2 linked regions of the Caenorhabditis elegans genome follow. The protein of the gene in region 2 purifies or fractionates together with the protein of the main gene of each other region. This does not show direct contact. Each region holds a gene or a part of one and is shown on either strand. Other genes may lie near its edges. The genes, in order: C32D5.10 and pqn-51.

Region 1 (16,047 bases), on a different chromosome or scaffold from region 2:
AGACAGGTATGAAATGATCTAGATTTCCGAAACGGAAACCTTTTTCCAGCTTGTCAAAATTGACATTAACGACTTGCAATGCAGAAGCCGATGATCAACAAGTAAAAGCAAAAAAGCCAAAGATTGAGCATGAGCTATCAGAAGACAAGTTGAATGGTCTGAACTGTGATTTAAAGTGTATGTAAATTACAAGTAATTTTTCAGATGACTGGCTTCAAAAAGTTATAGATACGGTTACATGTCAGCAATCTACAAGTTGTACAAGTATACAATTGAATTCTTCGGCTCCTTCAACCTGCTCTGCAAAAACACCTAACTCAACAGCAAATCTACCAACTTCTGAAAAACACGCAGACATCATAGCCTATGTAACAAACTTTTTAGAAGATGTGCCAAACGACAAGTTGATGCTTCACAAAGTTCGATTATTCCAGTTTATCGAAGAAGAAAAGTCTAGGTTGAAAGAAGAAAGTAAATAAATTGAAAGGAATGATAAAAAAGAGTATAGATTGGAAGTGATAGTCTATGACTAGAAAGCGAGACACTCTTGTTTGTTTATTCATGATCATGGTCTCTCCTATATGAAACCACTGAATTTTTGATCGCAAATACTTTTTTCATGGAATGAACAGGTTACTACGAAATGCTCCGAATATCTTCTGATTGTGTGATCTATATAAGAAACATTAGTGAGCATATAAAAACGGTATCTTAGTTATTGAAAAATTTACTTGAATGCTAAACTGGGCTTATACTTTCGACTGACTTTCATCGTACACTATGGAATTGATATCTAAAAAATAAGATGACGTGGTGGTTGGTTAACCAACCATGTTAACCAACCAACCATGTACAACTAATCAAAAAGTAAACGTATAATACCCGATCGCAACGAAACAACTTTCGTGTTTATCAGGTCACCTGCTGAGAAACTTGCCAAATTTTTCAGTGTTTCACTACCTTTTGGGTCGACCGACATCTGCGCGGCACTCGTTGCTGGTTGTTTCGAATTCGAATTCGCCGTGTTCCCCATCACAGTCAAGTAATGATGGGGAAACCGATGAGATAACGAATACACCGTTCAAAAGGTAAAGGTCACGTTTTCGATCGAATTTTGCGATCAAATTGAAAAAAATAAGAAGAAGAAGAGATGGCAGAACATACACGTGATGAATTCAAAAAGGCAGAAAAATAGAAAAAAAAAGAGTATAAACACCACTTTATGAATAAAGCCATGCCAGTTTCTAATAGCAACGAAGGGAAAACAACGAGAAAATGGATAGAGGAAAAAGGGAAAAGGAGAAGGTGTAATTATAGAATCGATTTGACTGGGAAGCAGCGGCGACTCGTAGATTTACAATAGTAAGATGTAGAGAAACGAGACTCTTTTTTTAATCTCAAAAATATGTATTTAATTATACATCTTGAAAATTTTGCAGATTTTTTTAGAGTTAGCCTACAGTACTCGGTCTCGAAACGGCCAAAACTATTTAAATACCGTATCCGCAAGTATTTGTTTTTAATTTTTCATGATCTCCTACAATTTTCCAAAAATGTATCGGTTTTTCCTTTAAAAATGTGGAATTTTAAGTGAAACTATTACAACAGATACAGGTGAAAATTGCGAAACACTTTTGGGTGCGGTAGCTGAAAAGTTTCCATCGTGCCGAGACCGGCTACCGTATTTTCGCATTGAAAATCTCAAACTTCTGCAAATGGGTAGTACCAAAATTGTGTCTCGAAAATGATAAAATATGCCAGAATCGAATCAAAAATGATTCCTAAGTCAACGTTTGAGCCCTCTTATGACATTTTCAGACGATGACAACTAGAATAAACTGTCATTTGACAGATGACTAATGGATACAAAGAGCCTTTTTGCCAAAAGTGTGTCACCATTTTCGAAATAAAATTCTCATTTTTCTCTATACTTTGTTCAGAAATCTACAATGATGTTTACGTAATACAAATGTGACGTCAATTCTATACAGATGAAAAAGTGATTTCGCAATGTGTATTGCTAACTGTTGGAGGTATTCCATTCGCTGGCCGAAAATAACGATGAGCATGAACATGAATTTGTTTGTGTCTTCTTCGTTTATTCATGAATCAAAAATTTGAAAGTAATAGCAAAAAAATATCAAAATCCGAGAGAAAACATGATTTTCTGGGAGGGGAGAAGAGCAACTTCGTAGACAATAGTTTGAATAGAAGTCACTACTCGGAACCGTCATACGAGAAAAATGAGAAGAAAATGTGAAGGAAATACAGAATTATTACAGAAAATGAGAAGATTTTTTTAAAGGGGCTTTGGGTTTCCATTAGAAGTATGAAATTTCCATTGTACAAGTATACACATTCGTCGGCGGATAATACATGACACTTTATTCCTTCTTTTCGACCTCTCCTCCATACACACTTTCGTCACTGTAGGCGATGTAAAGGAACAAGTCTTCCTCGTGATGGTCCTGTAATAAAGAAAAGGGTTAATTAAATGAAAATAAACGACTGGTTAGTTACCTGGTAGAGTTGTCCCATTGTGGTCATGGTTTGTGGAATGACATTGTTGACAAAGAAGAACAGAGCATCTTCTGGACGAAGTTGGATGCGTTTTCTGATGAGGAAGTAGAACTGTCCAACAGTAAGATCGGATGGGACCAAGTACTTCTTCTTATCCAAGTCATGGAGCTTTGACTTTGGTGCTTTCTCAACAATCACTGGAATACGGTCTGGGTACTTTCTGCGGATCTTGTCTCCTTCGGCACGACGCTTCTCAAAGTTGTTCTCCTCCTTGTAAGCCCACTTCATTTTGATTCGAAGGTTAGTGTGAAGAGAAGGTTACTGGAATAAAAATACTTTAAATCACAGAAAAATCATAAAAGAACCATGAGAGAAGAAAGGTGTAACAAGTGAGAGTGAATGAAGGTGACATCACATGGGTTTTGAGAGATTGACCGATTCGATAACACATTGCGAAATCTATATAAAATTGACGACGAGTACTAGTAAGGCAAAAAGAGCATGAGCAAGAATGGCCCGTGTGCAAGTGAGAGAGGGAGTGTGCGCGCACATCGGTCATATGAGAGCGCGTAGACGCAGGAGACATCCTATTGATTTTCTATGTTTGTCTGGCCTGGTTTTGTTGAGATGCAGAGAAACAGGACAAGTACAATGCAGCTGTTTAGAGGTTGTCGGGGAAACTGTAATTCTGGGAAGACTGAAAGTCGATCGATATATTAGTAACATTTATCCAATATTCACTAGTATCCATAACCAGTTTCTACGAATATTCTTAGCGCATTGTTCCAAAAAATTGAATTCTGAAAGACTTTAGTAATCAACTATTAACTAGATTAATATGACCGTTCAATAAATAATTTTGGTATGATTTAGCAATATTTTTAGATAGAATTGTTAAACCGTACATTTAATAGTCAAACTTGTGAAACATTTCTTAATTTCAAATTTCAAATCTAAAAAAGATTTTGATTTGAAACCGGTTTTTTAAACAAACCAACTAAAATTACAAACTTTTAAATAAAAAAGTACTGTCGCTACCGACGTCGCCAGAAAGTGAAAGAAATGGCAGAAAGTCGCAAAGAAGAGCGAGAGGCAAGACTGAACACACCAAGACGAATGGCACTAGCTAGAAAGAGAGAGAGATGAGAGAGGGGCGGAGACGACGAGACACCACGACTCAACATCATGTGACTGTGTCATACGGCGGCGAAACGAGACAGCAGGCAGAGGAGAGCAAGAGAGTATAGGGAAACATTGGATGGTTTGAGAGAAGTAGAGCAGCATGGTGTAGAATCATCGGGGTTTCAGGTGCCGATCGACAGATTGTTTGTTCTTAGATTCTTTTGATAGGAAATTTTAAACGTTAGAAATGATCAAAAGTGATAAAAGGTTAGAATAACAACTAGACAACAGTTGGTATTGAGTATGTTTTGCTATTAAAGGAACATAATATGCTAAAACTAAACGAAATAAACGATATATAACTACTATATCCATACAATAATATGTAGGTGGAAAGTGCATTAGCGACATAATTCTAAAATAAAGAGTTGGAGCAATGAGAGCATCATCCACATTCACAGCTGTCACCGTGACGTAGAATGTAATGAACTAGAAGAGGGCATTCAAGACCAGCTGGTAAAACGCTAGAACTGACAATATAAAACAAATCAATTAAAAGATCTTAAAGACATTAGGGTGCACTCCATGTAATCGATCAGAAAGGCAAAAATATAAAAAGGAACAAGATAAAAATTTGCCGGAAGCAAACCGAGAAAAAATATTAAAAAAATAACCAAACAATAAACCAAAGGTTAAAAATTTATAGACAGTCAATAGTGACGAAATGTTTTACACGGACAGAAGTACAATAATCAGAATAAAGCTATAAATATAAATAAATAAAAAATGATAGCTAACATGGAGAAACAATAAAAATATGAAAAACGCTTTTTTCTTTGAACCGTAAACAACGAAAATCTAAAAATTGCCGAATAAGTTCGCTTGTAGCCCAGGATGGAACATTTGGAAACTTGCTACTACGAAACATCGAAATGTCAGAAAAAATAAAAGTAAAAAAGTTGTAAAAAATTATGATATGCCTAGGAAAAAGTTTGAAAACTCGTCGATATCCGCCTTTTTAATTGATTTAACAGAGATCAAATGTCGATTTACTGTCGCCTTGAAAGTGCACCAGTTCGAGAGAGATCTGTAAAAATTAGTTATGAGACTTGATCTGCAATATGACAAACTTACAACTTGCTAGCTGTAACATATCATCAGGTTTGAACTTCGAAATGTCTGGAGCACTGAAATTGGAATATTACATATCCACGATAAAATCTTTTCAAACCCACCTTGAAGTGCTTGGCATTGGTTTGTTAATCCTGATAATGGCTTCTTGTGCTGCGCCGACAAGCATATTCATTGATTGTGTTAACGGCATATTGTACTTCGCGATCAATTCCTGAACATCGTCAACAAGCCCCTCAGGTAACTGGCTGGTTTTGGCCTTTTTCCAATGATCTTCTAATGGAAATTCGTACTTTCTCTTCCTGTCGGCACTACCATTTGCTACAGGTTTAGGAAGTGATCGATTCGAATCATCAAGAATAATAGTATCATCACGTTCAACAACTTGAATCTCTTCATCGCTATCTTCCTCACTATTTGAATACGTTCTTGGCTCATCACTGTCTTCTCTGTCATCATCATCCACATCGACACCATCATTATCATCATCATCGTCAATTTCTACTACACTGTCGGATCCACGACTTCGAGCAGAACCAGCACCTGCTGAAGATGTCGTTAATTCTGCCCATGGAATACCAGCGATTGGTAATTCTGTAAAAATTTAACTTTTTGAAGAGCCGATCTGAAAAATCTTACGTGACGGCACCGGGAGCGGAGCTGGCCTGAACGGATTCGTAGCATTAGGGCCAAGACGAAGAGGAGCCTGAAAGTAGATGTCATCGTCCTGGTCGGTGTCAGATGATGAGGCAGGATAATGCTACAATGTAAACTTACACTCAACAGGTCATAAAGGGGCGGCAAACTCACTTGCGGTTGTCCTCGATACATGTGTCCCATGGTAGATCCTGAAAATTTTATTTTGAAGTTTTAAATTAAAATAATATTTTAAAAGCATATTATGATAAAAAATTAAATACCAAAAACTCGGTCGAATGGTGTAAAAACCGGGAATCGGCGCGACCTGTGGTTTGATCTATTTTCTTCGGGTTCAAGCTCAATTGAATCGTCGACCGTCACAACATCTGGAAGATACGATTTTTTGAAATTAAGTACAAATATGATTCTACCATTTCCAGCACTTTCACCTCCGCGATCTGTTCTGATTCGATATGTTATGGCACCGCACCACTCCAAAAATGACTTTCGACTGTTAATCAAAGACTTCAGCTCAGCAATAAATGCAATTACAACCCGACATGATACAAGCCCATTCAATGCTGCATCAACTTCTCTCTGAAACATTTCAAACTTATGGTAAATTTGTTTTTGAACTACCGCATTAAGATCACGCGTTCCACGATCTTCAATCATACTGAATATTCTATTGATAATCTCTTCGTCTTTTCCCTCGGCCACATCATGAAGTGTATAAAAATACCAGCTATTTTCATTGTCGACACGTGGTTGCTGAAATACTTTTCATTAGAACACTTTTATGTTTTAATGGGAAACGTTACCGTCTTCGCCGGAAGGGATTTCAACTCGACGCTCAAGAAACTGTGTAAAACTGCTCGATAGTGATCGATATTATCACGGAATTCAGTTTTCGACAGAGAATTAGTTGCATCTGGCAATCCTTCTGATATAACTTGACGCTCATAGATCAATCTTCGGAATGCGGCTTTTGAGACAATTAATGCTTTTGCTGCTCCATGATCAATGTCGTCTCGGAGCATTTGCAGGGAGTTCAATTGTGAGACACACAGTTGTTTCATCGAGTTCAACTCTTCTAATCGTGGCTTCCTTTTTTGACTATCAGATCTACTTGATGTTGCTCCACTAAAAGAATGTTCAAATACAATTTGTATATTACTCATCGAAAACTCTTACATGATCTCGTCAATTTGGTTCATTAGCCTTCGACAACTTCGAATTTTTCTCGACACAATTCTCTTCTCAGTCACAAGATCTTCTGAAGCAGTCGCTGCTGGCTCTCCTTCGGATTTTATTTGCTGGACGGTTATTTTCTCATCGGTTCCTTTCCGTTGGATGAAGCTAACTGGTGTTTTGCACATTGGACAGAAAGGACCGGATCCCTTCGTGAGCCAGCCTACAATGCAATCGTAGCAAAATTCATGGCAACAATCACTCAACGAGGTTGTATCGATAATTCTGAAATAAATCAATTTTTAATTAATACTATTGAATGAACTTACTCATTTTTGCATACCGAACACTCCTCTTCCGGTTCGTCGATTTCTTCTTTAGACTGGGGACTTTCTGTCATGTTACTTTCTCCAAAATCCTGAATTGTATTCTTTTTCAGTGGTGATTCACTTGTGCTCGGAGAATCCATTGAGCTTTTCAATTCTTTTGAGATTTGAAATATTCCTCTAAAAAATAAACTATCGGAAATTTTTTAGTTTCTCACAAATATTTTTCAGTTTGCGCAAAATTTTCAAGTTTGAAAACTCTAACTAATTTTTCCCATATTCTGGTTTGAAATTTCAGTTTCTCTTTTAAAAATTAAATTAATAAATTAAAATTAATATCAAAGAAAGAAGGTAGTCGAAGTAAAATAAAAAAGCCTAAAATGTTGATAAAGATGGAAGCAATCAAATAGATCTCATTGGAGCGCACAAGCATAGTTTTGAGATATTTGAATTTTTATAAGGAAATTTCCCTTAAAAAATGGAAAGAACAGAAACCGGATACAGAGAAAACACTCACAAATAGATTATTATGAAAAATTGGAAAAAAAAATAGTTGGGTGCATCTTTTGGAATTTTCTAGCTTATAGTAAGTTTTGTTATTATTAGATTCGTTGCTCTCAAACAAAACATCTTTCTCAATAAAACATAAATAATAAAAAAACACACAGAAAATACCAAAAACCTGTCTATAAAACAGTTTTCACAAACTGATTCGCTCAAAATATTATTTTAACATTTCATTAAATATTTTAATAAAGTTTTTGAAAAAAGCAGAACACATAGAATGAAAAAAAACGGGGGTTGAGTAACATTTGAATGTACATGTCACAAGGTACAACTAAACAGTGAAGGAAACGGGTTGTTTAAGAAGCGAGTGTACATTTATCCATACAGATATAATGTTTAAGAAACTCGAACAAGATTATTTTTTTAAATGAGCGTATTTCTTGGATATTAACGTCTATCACGACGAGAGTTTGTTGATCTTTTGGCTGGTGGTCCCTCGGGTGGATGCCCGTTTTCGGCTGCTGAAAAATCAAATTTCGGTAAAAAACAATTTAAAGTTAGAAATTTACCTCTTCTTGCGGATCTTGTTCGATGAGCAACCGAAATAAAGTCAAGTCCATTATCAGCATCCTCCTGATTTATGGTTGCAACAATTTCCGCAAGTGATCGAGATTCTTCGTCAGATATAGCGGGTGCTGGAGTTGCTGGACGAGGAATTTGTGTCGGTGCATTGCTTGTGCTAGCATGTTCTTGAATTGCTTGATGAGTTTGCTGCATATTTTGGTAAGCTCTGTTGAAAAGTTGTTCCACTTCTTCGATTCTTTGCTCCCGTGGTGGCTGTGGGAAATGTCTTCTCTCCAAAATGCTTCTGGTTCGGTTTAAATGCGCGAAATCATTACTCGTCATAGTTCGCGGCTGATAAACAGGTATACTCGTAGATGATGTAGTGGTTGAATTTAACCGTGGCGAGAGCATAACCTGAAACAATTTTGATGATATTTTATGTTTATATATTTTTTAAACCAACCAATCCAGAATAACCATCAGAAGTGAATCGTCGACTTGTATAATCCGACGATGCAGGGTGACGGAAGAGACTCTGAAATATAGAAAATCTTCAAGTTTTACTTACTATTAAATTAAATACATTCACTTCTTTATAAATTCTCAATAATACTCACCGAAAGCCCTCGTGATCGATTATCAAATTCCCGAACTCTTTGTAGAAGTCGATCTCTTTCGATTTCGCGGCGTGTCTGGGGCCGACTCTCAATCGGCGGAATCTCTTCGTCTGTCGGACGATCGGAATCTAAACGTCTCATTGCAGATCTCAGCGTCATATGACTGCGAGAAGTTGTCGGTTGCTGTGAAATAGGTAAAGTTCTAGTAGTTTGTCCAAATGTTACAGGCTCAACTGGAACCGGTTCTTCTGTAGTTGGATATCGAACACGAACATCTCGATCACGCATCATGTGGTAGGCTCTCATTGACAGCGGTACCCGATTTGGCATTTCCAGCATTTGTTCGTAGTATGCTCGTGCCAACGATTGTTCACGTGGATCTTCGTCAGGCATTGGCGTTGGAACTCTTTCTTCTGGCGACTCAGAACGATCACTATCATCATCGTTATTCGTGGCACGGTCCGTTCCATCAGTATTTGAAGATTGACGAAGAAGACGTCCTGCCACATAAGTATCCATCCAATCATTTGTACTTCCGATATCACGATGAATTTGATTGAAGAGTGCTTCGAATCGGCTTTGAGGATCATCACGTCCCATAGAGTTATAATCAAAGAAGTTACTCGAGAAACTATTGTATATAGAATCATAGTAAACTTCGTTGTAGAATTCTTCGATTGTTAACTTTTCAATTGCAATAATTGCATCCAAATGATCGTCCAAAAATTGAATATGAACTGCACTAACAGGCGTTAGAATTTCATTGAGTTCTCTCTGAAAACTAGCAGTTTTAAATTAAATTTCCTGTAGACGTACCCGGAATAAATGATCACCCGATGGACGACTCAGCATAAGCTCGTAAATTTGAGCGGCATAGCGCTGTTTTTGCTGCATATCGATGCAGGAACCTAGAAACTTTGTTCTCCATTTGTGGCCGGCAAGTTTTGGTTGCTGAAAAATTCTAAAAATTTCAAGAAAGTTCAATAAATTTTCTTACATTTTGGAAAGGTATAGCGTCGAACTCAGCTATCAAAAAATTCGTGATAACATTTCTAAAACGATCCGGTTCTCTGGCAATATCAGATGGCTTGATTTTAACTTTCTTCAAATCAGGATACATTACTTTGACTTTGCTTGTGTAAACCATTCGACGAAACGTAACCGTATTGAAAACAATTGACCTGAAATCTTTTTTTGGTAATATATTCATTCAATTAAACTGATACTTGTTGATTCGAGCCTGCTCCGTCCTAAGATCCGATAGTGATATCTCTGCCTTTTGAATATGCTGTGTTACGATAGCGGCTAACTCAATCAATGCATTCTGGAAATAAATATTTAGTCTGTTTATATAGCGTGCTAATTTTTACCTTCAAGATTTCATCTGGTTCCTTCGATTCTTCGATACCGCTTCTGAAATATAGAACGTTTTGTTGGAAAAGCCAAGCAAACTCACATTTCTGATGATAACAAGCCTACAACCTTGTAGGAATGCATTAAATTTCTGACAACTAGTCTCCTTTCGCTGAGAAGTTGAACTCGATCTGTAGGCGTAAGTGACATATGCCCGCTTCGATATTCTTTGATTGCAATCCTGAAACAGAAAATTATCGTAAATATAAATAAAATAAAAGTTCTAACTCTTTTTGTCCTAGTTTTTGCTCTGAAAAATCATACGACACTTTATCGACATCCTTGCGACACATTGGGCATGAAGGGCGTAGAGATTGGCAGACCCATTCAGAAATGCAGGAAAAACAAAACGAGTGATTGCATCCTTCGATGCGACATTCTTGAGAGAATCTTAATTTTAACAATTAGTTGTTTGTTTGAATTTATATCCAACCTCGTAGATAAACAGATTGTGCACTGCAATTCTTCAACCGGGTTGTTTGAACTTGTTGATGGAGATGGTATGACAGGTTCCACACCACTGTCCCCCATAGTTTTTCTGAAAGAATTTTTCTTTTATTATTATCACTCATTATAGTAGAAAAATCAATAATGAGCAGTATGACTTTCTTTTCAGAAATGAGGCAAGGACGACCCGAAAATACTGATATCGATTTTCCACTATGACTTAAATGATGAATCATAGCAAGCTATCGCTTAAAAAATAAAAATGTCGTCGGATTTCACTTCTAGAACGATAATATTAACGTGTTTCGAGATTTGGCTATTAATTTCAGAAAAGATACGATAGCATGCTTCCGTGGTATGAAATATCACTTGCAGATTGATAAATTCGTATTGACATTGTTGAAATTAAAGCCAAAAAAGTCGATATATCAAACCACATGAACGAATTCCCAGAAACTAGAGAAAAACGAGAGAGCGAGGGAAGAAGCGAGGCGTTGGCATCGAGAAATGCGTCAGCAGGTTTCTCGCAGGTCCGATCGCAGTCAGCGATGAACATAACTTTTTTGCCATTAAATTTCTCATATTTTAAAATTAGCAAAATATTCGAAGACTTGTGTGAAATAAAAACAATGATTATTCATTAATCAAAAGTTAAATTAATAAATTGGTAAGCCCCGAAGAAAGAAAGAAGCAGAATAAAACAAAGATTTGTTAATATTGAAAACAATGAGCCAAAATTCTGTACAGAATTTTGTACAACAAAGTTTTGTACAAATTTTGTTTCAAATCGTTGCGGACGAGTTTTCAAAAACGCTCTATTGACAATTGTGAAAAACTTCGGCCGTGAACAACACGAGGACAATATCATGAAACAGACGAGCATTCGAAATAAATATATTATTTATAAATACAAACAAAATAAATAAAATAAAGACATTGATGGAATATTTTCCTATATCATACATCTATTTTGAATTTAAAATTTAGATTATCGTATCCCCATAGGCGAAATTTCGCGATTTTTGACACGCCAAATACGGTACTGGGTCTCGACACGACAAAACTTCAACAATTTTTATTTGATAACTTGCAAAGTATTATTTTTAATAAAGCACAATGAAACTGATTCAACAGATTGAACTTCAAGTTTATTAGGATTAATTGGAATTATCCTTGCACAGTTGGTCTCTTTACTGCCTCCTTCGAATACGAAGCTTTGGAGTTCGCGTACAATTTGAATGCCTCTTCTTGTGAGATTTCCGGTTTAGAATTCAATAACAGGCGCAGTTTCTTATTAGGAAATCCAACAGTTTTCTCAAAGAACAAACGGAATGCAACGTGATTTAGAATGTTTTCTGGGATCTAAAAACTCAGAAAAATTAAAAATATTGGTTTATCTGTAAATTGAGAGTGTACCTTGAATCCAAGCATATTCTTCCAATAGTTTAAGTACGAAGTGGCAAATGATGGCCAATAACTGACAGCTACTTCTTGACAGTAATTTGGATTAAGAAAACGACTTTCGAAAAACTGGAAGTTAAAAAAAATAAAAGTTGAATTTGTTTTCTATCAACTTACATCTCTGATTGAATGAGCACAGTTCTCATCCATACAGAACACAATTTCTCCATTCAATCTTTTCGAATTGTAAATTAATCCGAAAAATGATTTTTCAGCGATTGCAGCTAGGTTTCCAGCATATATCTGAGAAAGGATTTTATGATACATAACCGACAAAGTAGAACATATCACAAATAAATAGAAGCTCTCTAAAACTTACAAATTGATGCATTCCTCGTCGTTCTCCAGTTACAAATGGTAGAGCAGAATTCAAAATTAATTCTTTGATTGTGTCAATCTTTTTGCTTTTTCCAAGACCATAAACAAATGTTGGTCTCAAGAAAATTCCATTGAAAGATCCCTTTTTTGCGGCCTTTCTCGCATACATTTCTCCTCGAGTACGAGATTCTCCATACTCATCCAGCATGTAATTTCTTGGATAATCACTAGAATATCAGTCAATTTCACATATTAATGTTACAAATTGACACTTACAGAAACACGTCTTGCGCCAATCCATAGTTATCTTCATTTGGAATTGGGCAATAAGCACATCCGATATTAACCAGGGTCTTGATGTTCAGATTGGTCATTGTGTCGACTACACTCTCACAGGCTACAAAAAGAGAAACAATTATTTGAAGTTTTTTAATACAGATCACCAAGTTTTTCTGAAAATTTCAAAAACTTCGAAAATTCTACAAAAAATTCATCCTCACACCTTTGTAAATATTTTTCAGGTGTATTCAAAGCTGAAAGTTCAATTTCAAAAGATAGAAAATTAGTAGGAAATCATATTTTCATTCATTACCAAGTTTCAAAATATTTTTGTACACTTAAAAGTTTATTTTCACCACTATAATCTTTCAAATAAACTTCATTTCATCAATGATCACTGTATTTGAATGATTTCTGTTTACATAAAAATTAGAAAAATACGTTTTATTCAGATGTTCTAATGGGTTTCTCTTTTGGAACAAACAACATTTTTGGATATTTTTAGAAAAAAAGGAGACTTTGGAGAATTTACTGTAGATTTATTTCTATTTGGAACAAAATTTTACAAAATTTTATAAATCCCATAGTTCATCTATGTTTCTAGTTCTTTTCTGATTCCAAAAGAGCTACTAAAAGCTATGGTATTGCATCTTTTAATATCCAATTCCGTTCGAATCGTTCAATTTCTTGTTTCAGAGAATGAAATGACGCAGAATGGTCAAGTTTTCAACAAGATGTGTATTTAGTTGCTTGTCTATTGACAATTGGAATGTGCTTCTTACAGTGTAACCTTTTTTTTTTCGAAATTTCAAGTTCAAATGGTGGATAGATTTAGGAAAAGGCGAAAATGTGAAATCTCATTTGGAGAAAAAGCAAGTTATAAATTTATGGAGTTCGGAATATTGTTTTTTAGAATTACAATAATTGTCAATAAAGAACTTGAAAAAATATTTTATCACCGCAGGGATTGAACCAGCGAACGTTTACGTGAATGGCAAAATTTTTAGCCACTTGACCACAGCGGCTTTTTTAATTTTTTCGGTAGTAAAAGAGGTGATATATTATTCACTTCTACTGTCATAGAATTTTGGATTTACTCAGTGAAAGTAATTAAAATAGCAAACTTTTTAGATGTTACAAGTTACAAGTTTTCTTGGAAATCCAAGTAGCGAAAAAACTGTACACGAAAAAAGTAATTTGTTTCTGTACTTTGTATAAGGATGAAAAAGAGAGAACCTTACCATTTAAATTGTCTCTCCACATCAGATTATTCTGTTCTTTATCTTTTGAATAAAAAATTGGAAATGGTGAATGAGCACAATGAATTACACCATCACATCCTCTCAATGCATTTTCCAATGATTTTCTATCATTAAGATCAATTTGATAAAGCTTGACTTTTCTGCTTTCATCTGAAAGCGGACAGATTTAGATAATTTTAAAAAAATGGAAATCAAGTAGACTTACCTCTGGAAGTGCTCTGCCGATCTATAATCCGAATTTCTGCGATTTGTTCATTTTCTAGTAATCTCTGAACAACATAACGTCCAACAAGACCAGCACCACCGGTCACGGCGACGGTATACATTGTTCTGAAGTTAAAATGATAGATTAGTTGTCTTATTAAGTGATAAAAAGTTGTAAATTGGACAGGTTTTAGAACAAGTGCAACTGGAAATAAGTGAGTGAATTGGAAGAAAAGTGGAAAAGGAAGAGGAGGATAAAGGAGGTGCAAAACAGGCTGAAGAGGTTCGTTTACGGAGATTCAGATTTCAGTTTAAGATAAGCAGCGACCCCATTCTTCAATTAAGTGTGTAGGCTTAGGATTCTCACGAATCCTATTGGAACGAATGTTTTTAGATTTCAAGGGACGAACATTCTCAGGTGATCAAATATGGGCGGTTGAGAAGAAGAAGAAGAATTGGTCAACGGTCTGACAACTATTTAGAAATTATTCTGATTTATTAGAAACCAGACATTTCAATTCTGATTGAATTTAGTTTGATGTTTGAAAACTGGATACCAATCTTATTTTCGGTTCAAACATGTTTTCATACGTCACAGGTTTTTGAAATTGTTCGACAAAAACTCCAAGGAGAGATGGGGAGAAGTTGAGGTCACACTAATACATGGCAAACATTGAAATCCTTAGATTGGAAAAATGGACACAAAAATGTTTCATCCTAATAAATTCTCAAAAAATTAGATCAAACGTAGTTGAAATATTTGTATTCCCGATATATCTGCCACAATGCGATTAAACTTTTCAACTAAAAATATTGCTGAAAATCTTGTTTTCGTTGCCAGAAGAGTACTGTAGGATTACTGTAGCTTCGGTAAATTCATTATTTTAAAAGGATATAGAGGGTCTAGAGGGTCGGGGTTAGTTGGAGATAGGGTTTGTAAACTCGAATTCTTGCCAGTAAGATGGTATTCAAAGTTTTTCAGTTGAAATAACTATTTTTAAAAGTTTGAACTTTGTAGCCTTCGTTGAACATTTGATCAGCTAGAAAGCGGAGAATATAATTTTGTACTGAATGACCAACATCCTATTTATATGGAACCAATTAAACAGTGTTTGATAAGGTCTTCAAAAAGTTACCACTAAAAGATGAACGTAGGCTACACGGAGGAACTGCAAAGTACGACAACATACCCCTCCAGAACAAGAGATGAACGAATCCAGACTATTCAATATCCCTGCGTCTTTCATCTCTCCGCGCAAAAGGATATGTTGTTAACCACTGGATATCGGAAGAAAGTAGGACATATTCGTTCTACTTTCTGATATTCTTGTGTCCTTGGCGTCAACTTGCTAGAGACGGTGTAGAATCTTACTTTTAGAAGTGACTTCAAGCTAAAACTGTTCTATAATGTTAATTTTTCTTTTCCGATTATCTGCCAAAAATAAATATGGTTTGAAACATAGAAATTTTATTTAGCGAAATGAAGAAATAATTTAAGATTGAAGAAGTGTCACCCATGGAGGAATGATTGGAGAAGGGTTTTGAAGATAGCTCATCACAACGGCAGAGACGGAAAGCCTGAAATAAATTATTGAACATTGAAGAAGTAATCAAAACTAAATATTCGCTTAAAAATATATAAAAACCTTACATGAAGCTGCTGACAATTTGTTTGGCATCATCGGAGGTTCGAGTATTAGCGAACGAAATGCATGAGCAAACCAGAGCCAACCAAGAGCACCATTTCATCTAAATTAAAAATATTTTCTTGAGCAGTTACACAACTTTCTTACTCGGATCATCAATCCACACATGCTGAAAATCATGCCGAGTACATTCATGTACTCTGGAAGTGGATCCTCGCTGATGGCTTGCTGCTGATTTGCAGTCGAGTCGAGTGGTTTATATCTGTAAAATAAAAAGTTAGTTGGAAATCCATGGGAAAATAAAACTTACCGAACAATTCGATTCGTGCGTCGTGGATCTCCATTTTGTTGCATTTTCAAACTAGGAAAGTGACAAGTTTGCTGAAATCGATAGTAAAGA
Region 2 (16,047 bases):
TTCAAAGTTTTGTAAAAAAGTAAATGAAAATCGGTTTTTTTTGGGATTATTTTGGTTCAGGTAACGAGTTAAAAAAATTAAAAAAATATAATTTCTACCCAAATTCGTTTCCTCTTTTTTAAGCGACCCCTATTGTGACGTTTTCTGCGTTTTTTCCCAACATTTTTCTTTGCATTTTAAATTAAAAATTCTCTTCTCATTATTTTTTCAAAGTGCACACAAATCACAGTCTCCCACCTTTCTTGTCTCCATTGTCATCCGAATTTCCCGGTTGTTCTCCAGATCCATTATAATCGTCGTCCGGTGAGACGGTAGTTGTTGTTGAATTTGAATTTACGGCTGTGGTCGTCGTATTAGTTGATGGTACAGTAGTAGTAGTAGAAGTGATGTTTCCATTTGATGGAATAGTTGTAGTTGCTCCATTAATGGGTACTGTAGTTGTAGTAGTTCCATTCAATGGTGATGTTGTAGTGGTTTCATTTGTTGGTACAGTTGTTGTAGTTCCGTTAAGCGGTACTGTAGTTGTAGTTTCATTTGTTGGTACAGTAGTAGTCGTAGTTCCGTTAATGAGTACTGTAGTTGTCGTTGTGTTCATTGGACTTGTTGTAGTCGTTGTCGTCGTAGTGGTGGTAGTTGTAGTTGTAAGAGGTACCCATAAATAGCATAACGGAAGCCCCATCATAGCAACAGAATACGTGGCATTGGTGTTGTTCGCTTGCTCAGTGTCCGCGTAGTAGTCATCATAGGCGGAAGAATAGAACTGGTATAATGGAGTTTTAGCTCCACAGTTTCCAGAAACAGTCGCGCAAAAAAAGGATGGAAGTCCCATGCTGGTGTAGTTTGGGTAGAGAGCTTCATCCGATGGCCGGAGCATGATTAGAGTCACTGAAAAATGGGATGAAATTAAAAATGAGGTGCCCCTTGATTGCGGGCCTACCAGGCGCGCCTATCTTGTAGCATTTCTGTACTGCTCTACTTTTACGGCTGATATCTCGGCTGCCTTAAGTTCTACCAAAAAATATTCAACTGTGAAAATGTAGAAAAATGTTTTGCACGTTTTTTGTCAGTTGGCCTATTTTTGATAAAACTTAGGAGACACAAGATAAAAGCTGTCAAAGTTGATGTCACGTGGTGTCAGAGTGTTCCATTTCGGTTTGATCTACGTAGATCTACGAGAATCGCGGGAATTTAGACGCAGAGTTCTCAACTAATTTTGCATGGTTAAGAGCGTAGTGACGTCACATTTTTTGGGTAAAAATTCCCGCATTTTTTGTAGATTACGTCTTTCATGGGACAGCCTGACACCACGTAAGATATCCCTTTTGAGGGATATAAAAGTGCAGAAAAATGCGCGTCTTTAAATATTACTGTATTTTCGAACACTCGACCGATATCTCGAAGCTGCAGAATTTTCATTGATTTTTTATTTGTTTTCGATAAATTTTTCTCATGTAACACAAACTTGTCGCCTCGAGACCGGGTACCGTATTTTCTTTCTCAAAAATTGGACATACATTTGTCAGAATCCGTCTTGTAATAAGCTGAAACAGATGTAAGACATGTAGATGTGCAATTGGTTGTAGCAGCTGATATCGCATAAGCACTCTAGAACTTTTTTTTTTAATTTAACAATTAAAATTATTTAATATTCCTAACCAATTCATATAAAGCAGTAGCTGAAGCATTTCCATACGAGAAAGATGCACCACCATTGACCAAAAAATGACTGTAATACGCTGAAACTTATCAAGATAACTTGATTTTCTGTTCAATCAAATATTTGTTCTTACGATCTCCTTCAGATCCTACTTGATACTGAGTCAACGTTGCCAATGAGCTTGCTGAAATAGAATCAGTGAGTAAAGTTTCAAGTGGTGTCAGAGTGCTCCATCTCGGTATGATCTACATAGATCTACAAAAAACGCGGGAGCTGATTTCGTATGGCTAATAACGTGCTGACGTCACATATTTTTGTGCAAAAAATTCCTGCATTTTTTTGTAGATCAAACCGTAATGCGACAGTGTGACGTTTATTATAGAATTTCTCACGAATTGTGTCCGAAGTACATTGCGAGTTGACTTTATTGATATTATTCACTAGATTAAATATTAGAAACACCAATGAGAAAACCAAATTTCTCATTGGAAATTTTTTTAAAGTGAAGGCATTCTGGAAGAAAAATGCCGATGGGCTGCCAGTCTCTAGGCGACGATCCGCTGGTTTCTAAGCGACAAATGAATAATTTTAACGATCGTGTTTTGTTGTTGTGAAATTGGAAACATCAGCATTAAATATTCCAAATTTTTATTCGAATTCTATAAAAAAGTTCCGAATTCATAAGGAATCGACAGTTTATTCACAGATTCTTCAGCTTTTCGTCGTATTTCGTCCATATTTCCATGCTCAATTGCAAGACGTTTGACGTCACGATGTTGTCGTTTCTCTTCAGCTTCGTGTTGCCGAATATGAGCCTGAAAAAAAATATATTTAAATTTTTCCGTTGAACCAAGAATATTCGATGCTTACCGCAAAATATGGAGCTCTTTTATACTTTTGATGACAAATTGGGCATTGGAAAAGAATTGGCTTCGGCAAACACCCGTCCTCGTGGCGTTCCAAATTGAATTTCCGAGAGAAACGTTTGAAACAAGTCTGAAATATATTTGGCATATTAATTTTGGAAAATTACAAAAAAACTAACCCTACAACAATAATCTTCAGTATCTCCTAAAAGTTGAGCAGCCGTCCGGATTCGCTTCGTTTTTGTTTCAGAAGATGTTGAAGGTGTTTCCTTTTCATAGCGAAGTGCAATTACTCGTTTTGTGCGCGGCTGAAATGAAAAATAAAGTTAAAATATAAATATTTTCAAAATATGGGGGCCACTATGGCCAAATTCATTGGTGGGCGGCAATTGCCGTTCGGCAAATTCGGAAAATTGCCAATTGGCCAGAAGTTTTCAATTCTGGCAATTTGCCTATTTGCCGAAAATGTTCAATTCTGGCAAATTGCCGGGTTTGGAGGAAAATTCAATTTCGGCAATTTGCTGATTTGCCGGAAATTTCAATTCCGGCAATTCGCCGATTTGCCGAAAATTTCAATTTCGGCAATTTGCTGATTTGCCAGAAATTAAAAAATCACTTAAGATTCAATTTTTTCCATTTATTTTCAGAATTAAATCCAATTCTTACCAAAGAAACACTATATCTAACATGTTCTGTATCAGCTGGATGGTCTCCGGGCAATTCGACGATATAAGGTGTTTCGTATTTCTCACGATTCATCAATTCTCGATTGAATCTCGATTTTTGATCCAAAACTCCTCGGATAAGCTTTCCATCTCTTAGAATATATTTTTATTCCTTTTTTGTTTTTAATTTTCAGTGAGTACCTTGAAATCGCCGTGATTAGAAGTTGAAATCGTTCCAGATGCTTCGTTGTTACGATTTTTCCACCTTCACCGATAAATTTTCTGAGAATTTCTTCTCGAAAACCCGGCAGCAAGTCCATCTGGAATTGAACCTAAAAAATATTGAAAATTTGAAAACCAATTGAATACAATATAAGTATAGATCTGAAAACTTCATCCATTCATAAATAAGTACTAAAACTGGAGAGGAATTGGTGGGGTACATTTTATAGATGAATTCTACGAATGAAGTTGATGAACTTTAAAAAAAAGATAAACGGCAAACAAATAGAGAATATTGCAAAGAGAATTATCGTAAAATTCAATGTTACAGACCTTGGTTTAAGGAAGAAGTTTTAAGACAGAAATGATGTAAGAATCGGGAATCACTGATGATGAAGGAAAATTGATGAAAACGGGGCGGAAGGGCGGAAATCACAGTGCATGAGACTACACTTCAGGCATATTGTTCATTGGATCCTGGACTAGCGGGGACATGAGAATGGGGGAATAATTATTTGGAAATAATAATGATAATAATGTTAAAGATGTTGTAAATCGGTGATCGAATCACCATTCAGCTTCTCCGGTACACTTCTGGAAGCAGTAATCCTTTTTGTCGATGTGCATAATTCCATCCTTGAGCTGGAACTTCCACTTGGTACGGGCACGATTCACCTGAAAATTGCAAGATTCGACAATTTAACTTATAAAATAAATAGAATTAACCTTCTCGAACTGGCACATGACAACATTGTCCGCCTCGAATAGCATCGTCAAATCTTCATCGTCTGATTGATCATCTTCAGAATTCAATGGTTCCTCTTCTGCCACTTGATCTCCATCTTCAACTTCACCATTTCCCATGCGATCAGCGATTCTTCGAAGTGGATCATCATCATCGTCAGGCTCATCTTCACTGGAAGAATCAGACATTCCACCGCCACCTCCGTCGAGTTGAAAGTCTTTCAATAGTGATCCCAAGACTTTCATCGCTTTCTTCTCACTTGCTCCACTTCCACGGACTCTCAATGAGCACTTTGTCTTTTTTGGAGCAAGTTTTACAGGTCCACTAGGTCCTTCTCCGTCTGATTCGGATCCCACATTTCCGTCCATTTGATTCATATGGGTAAGTTGATTGCCCTGTTGAGGCTGCTGCTGCTGAGCCTGTTGTGGCTGTCCTTGATGAATAATTCGATGCTGTGGAATCTGATTCGGCATAATCGACATTGGAATATTCTGACCATTTGGTTGCTGCACAACGAACACTTGTCCCGGTTGAAAGTGAATTCCACCTTGAAATTGTGGATTGAACATGCGAACTTGAGATGGATGTTGCTGAAAAACGATGGTTTAGTTTTGTGGTTTACGTAGGAGTCGTGCAAGATTCTTGACGATTTTGAATGTATAGACCCAAAATGGGCTAAAAAAAACGAATTTCATAATGAAACTGCGAAATTTTTGAAAAATTGCACTGATTTCAGCTAAAATCTCGAATTTTTCCCTTTTTCCGTGTCACATCTGTCTGAAATTGAATTTTTTGGAATTATCATCCCTATCATTTAATTTCATCGATTAAGGTACATTTAAAGCCTGTCGGTTACCTATCGGCTTTAAATGTACTTTAATTGGCGAAATTACATGAGATAAACCACCCAAATCTGCAATGAAGGATGATAATTTCAAAAAAAAATCAATTTCGGACCGATGTGACAGGGAAAAAGTGGCCAAAATTCGAGATTTTTGCAGAAATTAGTCAATTTTTTGAGCAGTTTCGTTACGAAATTTGGAAATTTGTCCTGCTGGAGTATTAGTCGCATTTAAAAAAAAACAATAATTAAATTAAATAACCGTTGGCTGGCCAGTGTACGCCATTCGAATCGGAGCATCTCCAATGTGTGCTGCGTGAAGAGCCGACAAAGCTCTCACTGGCTGCTGAGCAACGGGTCTCTGTGGAGGCATCGGATTCGGACGAACGGCACTCGGCGGTACGTGATGCTGTTGGCGTGGTGCCGGTGGTGGTGCATTGCTCTCCAAGTCGACACATCCACTCGAATTCACTTTATCCTCCCATTCTTTCCTGAGTTGAGATAAAACGTCGACGTCGATGTTCTCATCGAGAAACGCTTCTTTCATATTGGCGATAACATCGGCCATAACCGACTTGTACAGCTCGGCGATTCCATTGCCGTGTGCCATGTTGGACGTTTGTCGTTCCTGTTTTAAAAAAAATGAATAGATAAACTTTTCCGAGATTTTTCGTCTGCGACACTTCCAACCATGTTCATTTCATAAAAACCCCCATTAAGAGTGGCAAGAAACAGGTTTCTCGAAGCGGGCTAGTCAAAATGAAAAAAAAAATTGAGAAAAATCGATTTTCCAACGTGACGTTACGTTCTTAAATTTGCGTAGACGATTTTTTGAAGAAATTATTATTATATGGTGAAATTGCAAAAAATATGACTCATAATCGATTTTACATACCTTCTTCAAAAAAAAAATGTTTTTTTCCAATTTTTCACATTTTCAACACGCATTTCATTACAATTTTCATGTTTTATACCACACACGGGGCCCTCTGATCACAGAAAGACACACTCGAAGAGAGCGAAAATTCGACTCACCAATCTGGCAGCAAGCAGCGACGATCGACTGAGTATATATACGCCGCAGCGGGAGGGGTGACGTCAGCGACCAACAGTGATGTGCAGGTTGTCGACGAGCGCCAATTCAAACAGGATATTTTGTTGTCTCGACGCTCTCGAATCTGAATGAACTATAGCGGTTGAAAATGAAAATAGAATGGGAAAACGGCGAGAGAGAGGAAACGTTTGCGGCGGCAGTTTCGAAATGGAGAAAAGGTACGCAAGCATCACAATTGACGCGAAATTGCGGAAGTAATTTTTGTTTGAGCTTGTGGATCGAGACCCGAAGAACTCGGGGGATGTCCAATTGGGGGGATCACGGCCTCCCGCACGAGAAATGCGCACACTCTCTCGCTTTTTGTTTGCGCGTTTGCGGACGACCACCTTGCCTCGCCGCCGCTTTCAACAGATATTCATGAAATTGAGCTAGAATCGCTATTTTTGAACGAAATTTCGAATTTTTTTCACAGAAATAGTGAAGTTGATAAAATGGAAAGTCGGAACTTACAATAAATAGTTAATACGATCTGTTTTTCAGTGATTTTTAGCAAGAATTAGTTGGAATTAGAAGAATTCTGGACAGAAGAGCACTTTTTTAGATTGAAAATTGTTAAATATAATACGATGAGTGTATTTGAACGGTTTAAATAAAGAAAATATGTACGACTGTGGCTTCGGGCTGATTCTCGCTCTTCACGTGGCAAGTGGATGTATCGTATGGACTTTGAACAACTACAACTTTTTTCGCGTTGGAGATAGAAACTAGCGATGAACTGACAAAATAAACATCACAAATAGGCGAGCATTTCCACAGTTGACAATTTTTTGATATCTCGTTCCACTAAAAAGATACAGCTATGATTTGATGATTGAAGTCCCAGATACGGTACCCTCTCTTAAAACCATCAAATCTCTGTTCTCGTTGAAGATACAAAAATATGTTCAACTGAGAAAATGTTAAGCAGATAAAAAACAACATTTACCAGCAAGAACTACATTTCTATCTACAAAAATAATAGAGATTTTGACTTTTGAAAATTGATCATCTTAAACTGGCCATGTCAAAAAATCCTGAACATTAAAATTGAGTTTTCTATCGGAAACATACTCTATATAAGATATCTAACAAATTTGTAGTTGACTACTTTCTTCTAATGTCTTTATTTTTTGAGTTATGAACTGATCTCTGATTTTCTCATAAATACGGCTTTCGGGGCCTGTAAAAAATTTGTCTTACTAGTTAGAAAAATATTGTCAACAGAAAAAATGTTCACAATGTCAAACTGAACATTTTGTTAGTTGACAACTTTTTTGTAACTTTCATAGGAGCGGAGATAGGAGCATCCAAAGTGTGAGGGCGCAGTAGAGTGGGTACTGTACCAAAGCACCCAACCTTCTAGATCAAATAACATCTTTCAACATTGACGGATTTTTATGTGTGATATGTCAAAATGTGCGTATTAAAAATTAGAACAATCGTATTGTTTCCGATTTTTGACTCCAAGCCAACTATTTCCTGAAAATTGCGAAAAATCTGAAAATTTGGTCATTTTAGTACTGTAGTCAACCTTCTAGATCAAATAACATCTTTCAACATTGACGGATTTTTATGTGTGATATGTTAAAATGTGCGTATTAAAAATTAGAACAATCGTATTGTTTCCGATTTTTGACTCCAAGCCAACTATTTCCTGAAAATTGCGAAAAATCTGAAAATTTGGTCATTTTAGTACTGTAGTCAACCTTCTAGATCAAATAACATCTTTCAACATTGACGGATTTTTATGTGTGATATGTTAAAATGTGCGTATTAAAAATTAGAACAATCGTATTGTTTCCGATTTTTGAAATCTTTCATTTTACGGTCACTAGCTTCCGGAAAGTGCTGAAATTTTGAGCTGTAATGTTTGATGTCACAAAAAGTTTCTCTCATAACTTATTTATTGGGGTTTTTTTGTATTAACTCATTAATTGGGAATATATTGAATACATTTTACAAAAAAAATTTGGGAAAAAATCTTAAACTTGCTCGTTTTAGAGGGGAATGTGTAATATTATGTTCACTCTCTTCACTTATTTCAATGACAAAACTATTCTGTGAAATTTATGCCAGACTGTAGAGGACAGTACTCTTTATCCGTTCCAATTGTTTCTTTTCAGAAATATGCAATTTCCTTTCTTCCCGACTCCTTCTAAGTGAGGTGGTTGAGCGCGCACTCTCGCCATGCTGTGGAGGTGAGAGACGCAGAGACCGCCTTTTTCTCTGCGCTCTCTCTGCGCATTTCACGTGGTGGAGGCCGTGGGGGATTACCAACTCGGGGGATTGGCCCCGCCCACAGAACCGTGGCTTGCAATACGCCCATTTCTGCAACTGCCGCACGGTTTTAAACCTGTATTTTTCTCAATAGAGCGAGAAATAACAAGAAAAAATAATTTTATAACCGTGCGGCAGTTGCAGAAATGGGCGTATTGCAAGCCACGGTTCTGTGGGCGGGGCCAATCCCCCGAGTTGGTAATCCCCCCAATTGGACATCCCCCGAGTTCTTCGGGTCTCTGTGGATCCACGTTCGGTGGAATTAAATAATCTAAAAACATAAATATAAATATTTTCACAATGTTTAAAACGGAAAACCTGAAAAAATACGAATAGCCACAATTATTTCCGTGCAATACTCGAGCTGCAGGATTTACAAAAAATAAAATTTCTAAATTGACTTTGAAAAAATATTTTCCAGTCTTTTTTTACTCGAATAAATGAAATTTAAAACTGAAATCGAAACTATTTTTAAATCAAAAATTCCTGAAATTGTTTCAAAATAAAAAATAAAAGCAAAAAAAAACGCGCAAAGTTCGAATTTATTTGGTCAAAAATTAAAAACGAGAAATTTTCGAAAACAAATTTCTCAAGCTAACACATTTCGTGACGGACCATCGTATGAAAATCCGTGCGCCTTTGAAGGGTTGGGTCTCGCAGCGCGTTTCAAGTTTACTGTAGAAAAATTCCAAGTCTGAAAGTTAGCTGTTTTTCTTTGTTTGTCCGTATTCAAGGGATTTAAGTGGACGGAAAACTATTTAAAAGTTTAAAAAATAAATTTAAAAAAAAAGAACAACTGATTGTGAGTTCCTACAAAAACTGTAATCTGTATCCGATTCCTTTTTTCCAGACTTTATGGCTGTTCTCCTTCGTCGTTCCATTTTTTTTTCAGAATTCAAACTCAACAACCCACCGCATTGATACCCGAAAAACTTGACGTACTAAACAATAATCGGATTGGTGGCAATCGCGGAAAACTTCAAATGCATAAATTTTCAGCACTCGTCGTTTTTCCACCTCTTCTGCCATTCTGCTTCCATTCCAAGTTTTTATTGTTTGTTTGCACAATGTGCAACTTCACGCCTATATGATAACATCTGTTTCCTCATTTTTTTTTGTACTTTTTCACGATTCACCTTTTGTTTGATTAGCCTTTTTTTTGCATATGCAATTCTTGAGTCAATAAAAAAAGTTTGAAAAACTATTTTGAGGTAATAATTCCCTAGGATTATCAATTTCATCGACTATGACTGATCTTTCCATCCATGTAAGTTTGGCGCTTTTTTCAGTTGGATTTTCGAGTCAAAAGTACGGTACTCGGTCTCGACACGAATAATTGTTTTTAAAGTTCAGAACGGCGTGCGCCTTTAAAAAGCACTGTAGTTTCAAAATTTCGTCGCTGTAACAATACACAAATCCATGAGAAAAACTTTTAAAAATCAATGAAAATTTCGAAGTTTGAAATTACAGTAGTCTTTAAAGGCGCACATCTTTTTCGCATTTAACAAAAAATAGTCATGTCGGGACCAGCTACCGTATTTTTGTCGAAAAATCTCTCTGCTTGTCTAGAAATGTTTGAATTAATGTTTGAAATTTGTAGATAAATAATTAAATTGATATAGTAACTTAAATAAAACGAAACTTCAGTTTTTTTTTTCAATTATTCCAAATGTTTAATTTCGTGTAGGATCAAATAAAGTTGGCATCCGAGTGGGGTTACAACCAAGAAGAGATCATCTCCGCTCTGAAAGCCAACTCGAAAGAAGGTTCGAAAGAATTCGAGCGATTCGAGAACTTTGATGTTATGCTGGACATTCTGAATAAAGTGACAGGGAAAGGAGACTCCCGGTCGAGCAGGAAACATAATAGTCCAGGGTAAGCAGGTAAAGGCCAGGCAGGCAGGCAGGCAGGTGTTTTGCCGCCTACCTAGTAAATTGAGCAGACTTTCCATTTTTTGAAAATTTTGGTTTTCAGAGATTTGATGTCAAGCTCTGTGACAAGTTTACACCCGCATAGTTCCAAGTCTCATCGAAATCTTTCGGTTGGGAGATCTTCATCGTTTCATTTGTCAACTCCAAGGCAAGTATATTACCGATACGCAATAATTTGCGACTTTTGCGCCGAAAATACGGTCTCAGGTCTCGACACGACATTATTTTTCCAAATGCGAAAAGGTGTGCGCCTTTAAAGATTACAGTAGTATCAAATTTTTTCAAAATTTGTTAAAATTCACATTATAGTTATATTTGAGTTTAGAAAATAATACATTTAGATATATTTTTATCTACGTGATGTCAGGATGTCTCATTGCGGTTTGATCTACAAAAAATGCGGGAAATTTTTCCCAGAAAATTGTGACGTCAGCACTCTTAATCATGCGAAATCAGTTGAGATATCTTCGTCTCACCTCCCGCATTTTTCGTAGATCAAAGCGGAATGGGGCTTTCTGACTCCACGTGCTTATCGTAAATCAATGAAAATTCCGCACCAACAAAAATTTGAATGTACAGTAATCTTTAAAGGAGCGCACTTTCTGAAATTAGACACAAACTTGTCGTGCCGAGACCGGGTACCATATTTTTGTACGAAAATCGCAAAACTGCTTTTACAATATATTTTGTGTCAGCCCCTGCAAAAGTCAATTTCGAGGTAAAGTCCTAAAAAACCTGAATGTAAGTGTGCACTTTAGTTGACATTAAAATGATAAAATTTGTCGCAATTTTTCAAAAAACCTTTTTTTTTACTATTTTTCAAGTTCAGAAGTGTCTGCAAAATATTGTGATATACAAAAACTGCATCTTGAAAGTAAAACTAACACAATAAATGTTCCTGACCTAATCCTCTTAACCTCCAGAAGTACCCGCGACTCCCACGACATTGTTCGCCTTCTCGCCACACTGGAAAGAGAAAAAGAACGTGATCGAAAGGAGGTCGATAGTCAATTCACTATTCTTAAGGTAGTGACCTTGTTTATGAACTTTCTCTCTCATAACTAGTTTGAGTCTTTTCAGAATAGAATAAACCATTTAGAAAATGAAAAAGAACAGTGTTTGTCAGAAGTTCAAGAATTGAAGCGGCTTCTGGAAGATTCGGAGCAAGATTTGAAAGATTGTAAAGATGAGATGAATAGGCTGATGGAAGAGAGAGTAGAGACAGCTGATGCACTTGATAAACTGGTTGGTTACTTGGAAATTGACATTTTTTAACCTTTAACTATAACATTAGCTCTCTAGACAATCCAAAACTACCGCCAACAACAAGAAATTCACGACCAAAAAGAGCTGTCTGAGCATCGTAAAAAAATTTATTCTGAAGAGAAAGCACGAAAAGACGAGGAGATTTTGAACCTTCAAAAGCAGAAGACCGACGTCGAGATGGAGCTGGAACGGAAGAGTAACCTGTTGGATGAACAGACTAATGTTACAAAACGAATGGAGGAGAAAAGTTATCAATTGGTTGGTTATTTAACAGTTATATTAAGGAATATTTTAATTATTCCAGAAGCCATTGGTGCTGCTCGATGAATTAACAAAGAAACACAGTCAACTTGTCGACCTTTCAACTGAATTTTTGCCAAACATCAATGCTGTCAAAATGCTCTACAAAGAATTGGTTAGTTGAAACTTGCTATATTCTGTACGGGTTAATTATCACATTTTTATCAACGTTTTCAAAACTTATTGGCATTGTTCAACGTAAAAATGTAAAAATTTGATTTTATTACTCATATTTTAAGCGCTAATACTAAAAAAACAAATGTAGATCAATTCAAAAGAGTAGCGTCTGTGGGTTTATTTACATCTAATGGGGTTATTCAAGTATTGTCGGAAAATTTAAAAGTGTAGAAAAATTACGTCACAACTGTATTCAAGTACATAAAAATATGTATTTAAATACATATGTGACGTCAGAAATGTATTTAAATACATTCTGCTACATTACTTGAATAACCCCATAAATGGCACACAACTGTTTCAATACATCGAATGCAACTGTCATTAATTCATAGAATATTCCTTTTTTTGAAAAATATTTTCAATTTTGCAAAAAAAAAATTCAAATGAATGGCCATGTAGTTTTAATTTTTTTTCGGTTATTTTAATTTTTTTGTTTTAAATTTTTTTTTGAAACACAACAATTTTAAAATTTTCTGATATTTTTCCGCATGTTGAGCTAATTTTAGAGCTTCAGTGAATATTTTTGGATTATTAAGTTTTCAATGGAAAAATGTCTGAAAAATTTACAAATCATGTTCAAAATCAATAATCCCAATAAGGTTATCCGAAAAAAAAAACGCGGAAATGTTGAAGCTAGGTTATTAATTTTGGCATTAAATTCGAAAATAACTCAGCCAAATTTTTGAACAAACTTGAAAAAAAAATCATAAAAAATTTTGGGGCGAAAACCCACAGACGTAGAAGTCGTCAATTTCCGGGAAAAAAAAACAGTAATTCGTCAAACTTTCGTACATTTTCGGAGAATTTTTTCGCATTTTTAAAGTAAAGTAAATAATATTTTAATATTTATCAAATTGTGTTTTATTTTTTGACACAATCGCTTAAAACTGCCAAAAAAAAGTTTCCGCACTTTATCCTTGATCTGAAATGTTTTCCAAACATTATTTTGTCATTGCAAGCCCTATGTAATAATATTTTCAACTATTTCGATTCCTTTTCTCATAGATTTTTATTTCAGTTTGAGAGTTTCCCACAACTAGAGACCAATGTTCACGAATCAAAACTCTCAATGGAACGTCGTGTCGAGGAAGTCGAAGAGCAACTTCGATCACGTAATCGCGATTTTCAACGTCTTCAGGAGAAGCTGGTAGCCGAGTGTTGCATATGTTTGGCAACAAAACCATCAATTGTTTTCATGCCGTGTCGTCATCTGATCACATGTTCCGGCTGCTACGATGCAAGCGATTTTCGAGAGTGTCCAACGTGCAGGTCGACAATTGAAAATTCAATAACAGTGTTCATGTGAACAATACAACTAAACATTTATTTTGTTTTCATAAATGTTTTGATCAATTGGTAATATATGTAGTAGTGTGATATTACAAAGTAGCACGAGATAGAATTAAAGTTATGGTATCTAGCAACAAATATCTAGATCCTAAATTTTGAAAATAATGCGATATTGTTTTGAATCGTGATGAGATTATCGGAATGCACAACTTTCAGTTTTGCATAAAATAATGGAAAATAGATTTAAAAATTTTCAAAATTTTGGATTTTTCAAATTTTGCAAAGAAAATTTCGAATTTCGGATTAACCCAGGTAAACTTTTTTTGGAGTTTTCGGGGCAAATTAAAATTAATTTTCTTGGTTTGTTACCTTCACAAACGGACACTATTAAAAAAATCAGTTAAATTTCCCGAAAAACGGGCAAAAAGTTGGTTTCTTTTACAAAATATTGTATTAAAAATCTGAAAAAAATTTATAATGTTTTTAAAATGTTTCTTAACAGTTCAAATCAGTTTCACGACCCATTTTAAATGATTGAAAAATTAAATTTTTCAAAATTTTTTGTGATTTTTTAAAATTTTGCACAAAAAATTTTGAATGACTGATTAGCCCAGGTTAACTTTTTTAGAGTTTTTCGGCAAATTCAAATAGATTTGCTTGTTTTGTAGAAACTGTAAAAAATCAATTAAATTTGCGGAAAAATGGTTAAAAAATAAGCCTTTTTGCAAAATATTTTTTCAAAGTATCATAAAAAAAATTAGAATAATTTTCAAATGTTTTTCAACAGTTCAATTCGGTTTCACGACCCTTTTTTTTCGATAAATATTTTACAATATTACGTGGACTCTAAAATTGGATTTTTTGCCATATTTCACGCGTTTGGGTCTCACCACGCTTCCAACAAATTACTGTAATTTGTGTCATTTTATGGTAAGTTTATATAAAGTTTAAAGCTAAATTATTTTTGAAATCCCCTCAAAAAAATTGTAGCAACAAATTTTCGTTTATGTATCGTAATTTGAAACTTTTGATGCAATTTATGGTCATAAATTGTTACAAGTTACTATAACTCATGGTCAGCGTGGCAAGACCCATTTTCCCGTTTTTCAAGAATTCAAAAACTCTCCCGCAATTTCCATATTGTTGACTAACAACAAAAAAGAAAAGAAGCGCCTCTCGATTCCCTCCCCATCGCATAAAAATAACGGGCAAAGGAATAAAATCGAATAATCGATCAAACCGAAACGAACAAAAACAGAAACGGGACAGATAGATGGGGAAGAGAAAAATGAAGAAAAATCAGTATTATCACCGTCACCAAAATTCACTTTTTTTTTTTCTGTCCCTCCATCTTTTTCTCTTTTTACCTACTCTCTGTCAAAACATGTCAAAACGACAAAAACAACGTAGTACTCGCACCACTCCCCTCTTACGTAGTACTATCAATTTCAGATGGTTGAAGAGGTAATCGGTTTTCGATCGAAACGTAGCATGCTCTACGCAACATTTTACGCCAAATATCAGGATATGGAGGATATGGCTACAACGACACCAGGGCTCATGGCAGCTGAGAATCCATTTAATTTAGATAATATTGGAGATGGATTCGGTATGTTCTAGAAATATCAGTAGTTTGCATGTCTTTAATTATGTAGCAGGTGTGGGCGTCAATTAAAGTTTTTCGGCGATTTGAAATATATCGCGTTCAAACAAATTTTAGATCAAGAACTTAAAAAATTAGCAAAACCCAATTTTTGAAGTAATTGGAATTTTTTCCGATTACATATTCTACAATTGCCGATTTTGAAATTTTTGGAAATTTCCGCTCAGCCTAACTAGTAAGCTTTGCTCATTCCAGATGTGTGGACACGTGGCGAGACACAGCTTCTAGTCCTGGCTGTAATCGTTGTAATTCTTGCGTTGATATTTGCTGCAATTGTTGCAATGGATTGCGGGAGAAATGGACCACCGATGATGAGATCGGGAACACTTCGAGACATCGTATGGAACAATGCTAATCGGCGAAGAAGGAATGATTCTCAGAGAAATGAGACGGGAAGATCTGAAACTGGAAGATCTGGAACTGACAACTCGTTTGGAGATTTGAAAGGTGCATTTTTGTATAACTTTCGCATGTTGGAACCCCTAAAGTGACGGTATATGAATTTTTAAACATAGTTAAAATATTGAACTAAAATAATTTTTTTTGATCTACGGCTTCCAGAAAAATAGGTAAAAACTGAGTTTCCCCGATTTTAGCCTCGAAAAAATGGTACATTTTTTTGTAAAACCTAGTTATGTTTTTTCCAAAGATTGACAGTACCCAATGTCCGTTTAATTTTATTTTCAACACTTCAAAATTAATATTTACTTTAGTTAGCAGTTTTTCGTGTAGACACAAAGCAGATACAAAATTGGAATTGAAGATATTTATATGTTCCCATCGATGACGTTTTTAGAGAAAATTAGAACAAAATTCAAGCATTTCTGCAATTTTGAAACAAATCCCAAACAAAAAAAACATAACACGCAATTATTTTCTCATGATAAATCAAACTTCCAGATTCTTTCCAATTTAACAATTGGATCAGTTGAATAAAATCTAAAATAAATATTTGACGAAACAAAATAACAAACATTAATTCTGGAGCAAGAAACATCTGTTATTCATTTTCTCATTTTACAGCCCCGCCGCTCAGCTACTTGGCGCCTCC

What was found.
Region 1: the proteins of pqn-51 (region 2) and C32D5.10 fractionate together in Caenorhabditis elegans (co-fractionation; one large-scale study listed by BioGRID). This does not show direct contact.

The regions. Positions count from the first base shown.
Region 1 is NC_003280.10:6,344,879-6,360,925, forward strand, and holds C32D5.10 (putative RING finger protein C32D5.10), read right to left. Parts: upstream 7,110-16,047; 5' UTR 7,073-7,109; coding exon 6,933-7,072; intron 6,889-6,932; coding exon 6,607-6,888; intron 6,556-6,606; coding exon 6,234-6,555; intron 6,184-6,233; coding exon 6,052-6,183; intron 6,010-6,051; coding exon 5,844-6,009; intron 5,799-5,843; coding exon 5,694-5,798; intron 5,622-5,693; coding exon 5,584-5,621; intron 5,480-5,583; coding exon 5,413-5,479; intron 5,368-5,412; coding exon 4,878-5,367; intron 4,830-4,877; coding exon 4,777-4,829; intron 4,730-4,776; coding exon 4,692-4,729; 3' UTR 4,329-4,691; downstream 1-4,328. Other genes in the region: C32D5.8 (protein-disulfide reductase), read right to left, coding at 961-1,033; txt-18 (transcellular chaperone signaling (x)cross tissue), read left to right, coding at 1-6, 50-156, 205-479; Protein lgg-1, read right to left, coding at 2,385-2,468, 2,521-2,808; C32D5.11 (RING-type domain-containing protein), read right to left, coding at 7,884-7,957, 8,006-8,414, 8,464-8,535, 8,618-9,391, 9,434-9,568, 9,615-9,798, 9,844-9,941, 9,988-10,030 and 3 more; C32D5.12 (3-beta hydroxysteroid dehydrogenase/isomerase domain-containing protein), read right to left, coding at 11,645-11,839, 11,894-12,007, 12,056-12,181, 12,258-12,483, 12,533-12,653, 13,777-13,947, 14,003-14,123; K10B2.4 (Protein Asterix), read right to left, coding at 15,495-15,579, 15,653-15,750, 15,795-15,909, 15,958-16,001.
Region 2 is NC_003283.11:5,039,734-5,055,780, reverse strand, and holds pqn-51 (Prion-like-(Q/N-rich)-domain-bearing protein), read right to left. Parts: upstream 6,175-16,047; 5' UTR 6,146-6,174; coding exon of another isoform or gene 6,095-6,145; 5' UTR 6,032-6,094; intron 5,625-6,031; 5' UTR 5,607-5,624; coding exon 5,259-5,606; intron 4,746-5,258; coding exon 4,137-4,745; intron 4,086-4,136; coding exon 3,978-4,085; 3' UTR 3,567-3,977; downstream 1-3,566. Other genes in the region: cwp-4 (Coexpressed With Polycystins), read right to left, coding at 238-885, 1,515-1,605, 1,657-1,736, 1,791-1,841, 2,050-2,143; K11D12.12 (C2H2-type domain-containing protein), read right to left, coding at 2,317-2,472, 2,528-2,653, 2,703-2,831, 3,190-3,340, 3,390-3,508; exc-14 (RING-type domain-containing protein), read left to right, coding at 9,613-9,633, 10,054-10,241, 10,341-10,445, 11,221-11,323, 11,378-11,542, 11,600-11,821, 11,868-11,978, 13,062-13,349; K11D12.8 (uncharacterized protein), read left to right, coding at 14,786-14,942, 15,192-15,443, 16,020-16,047.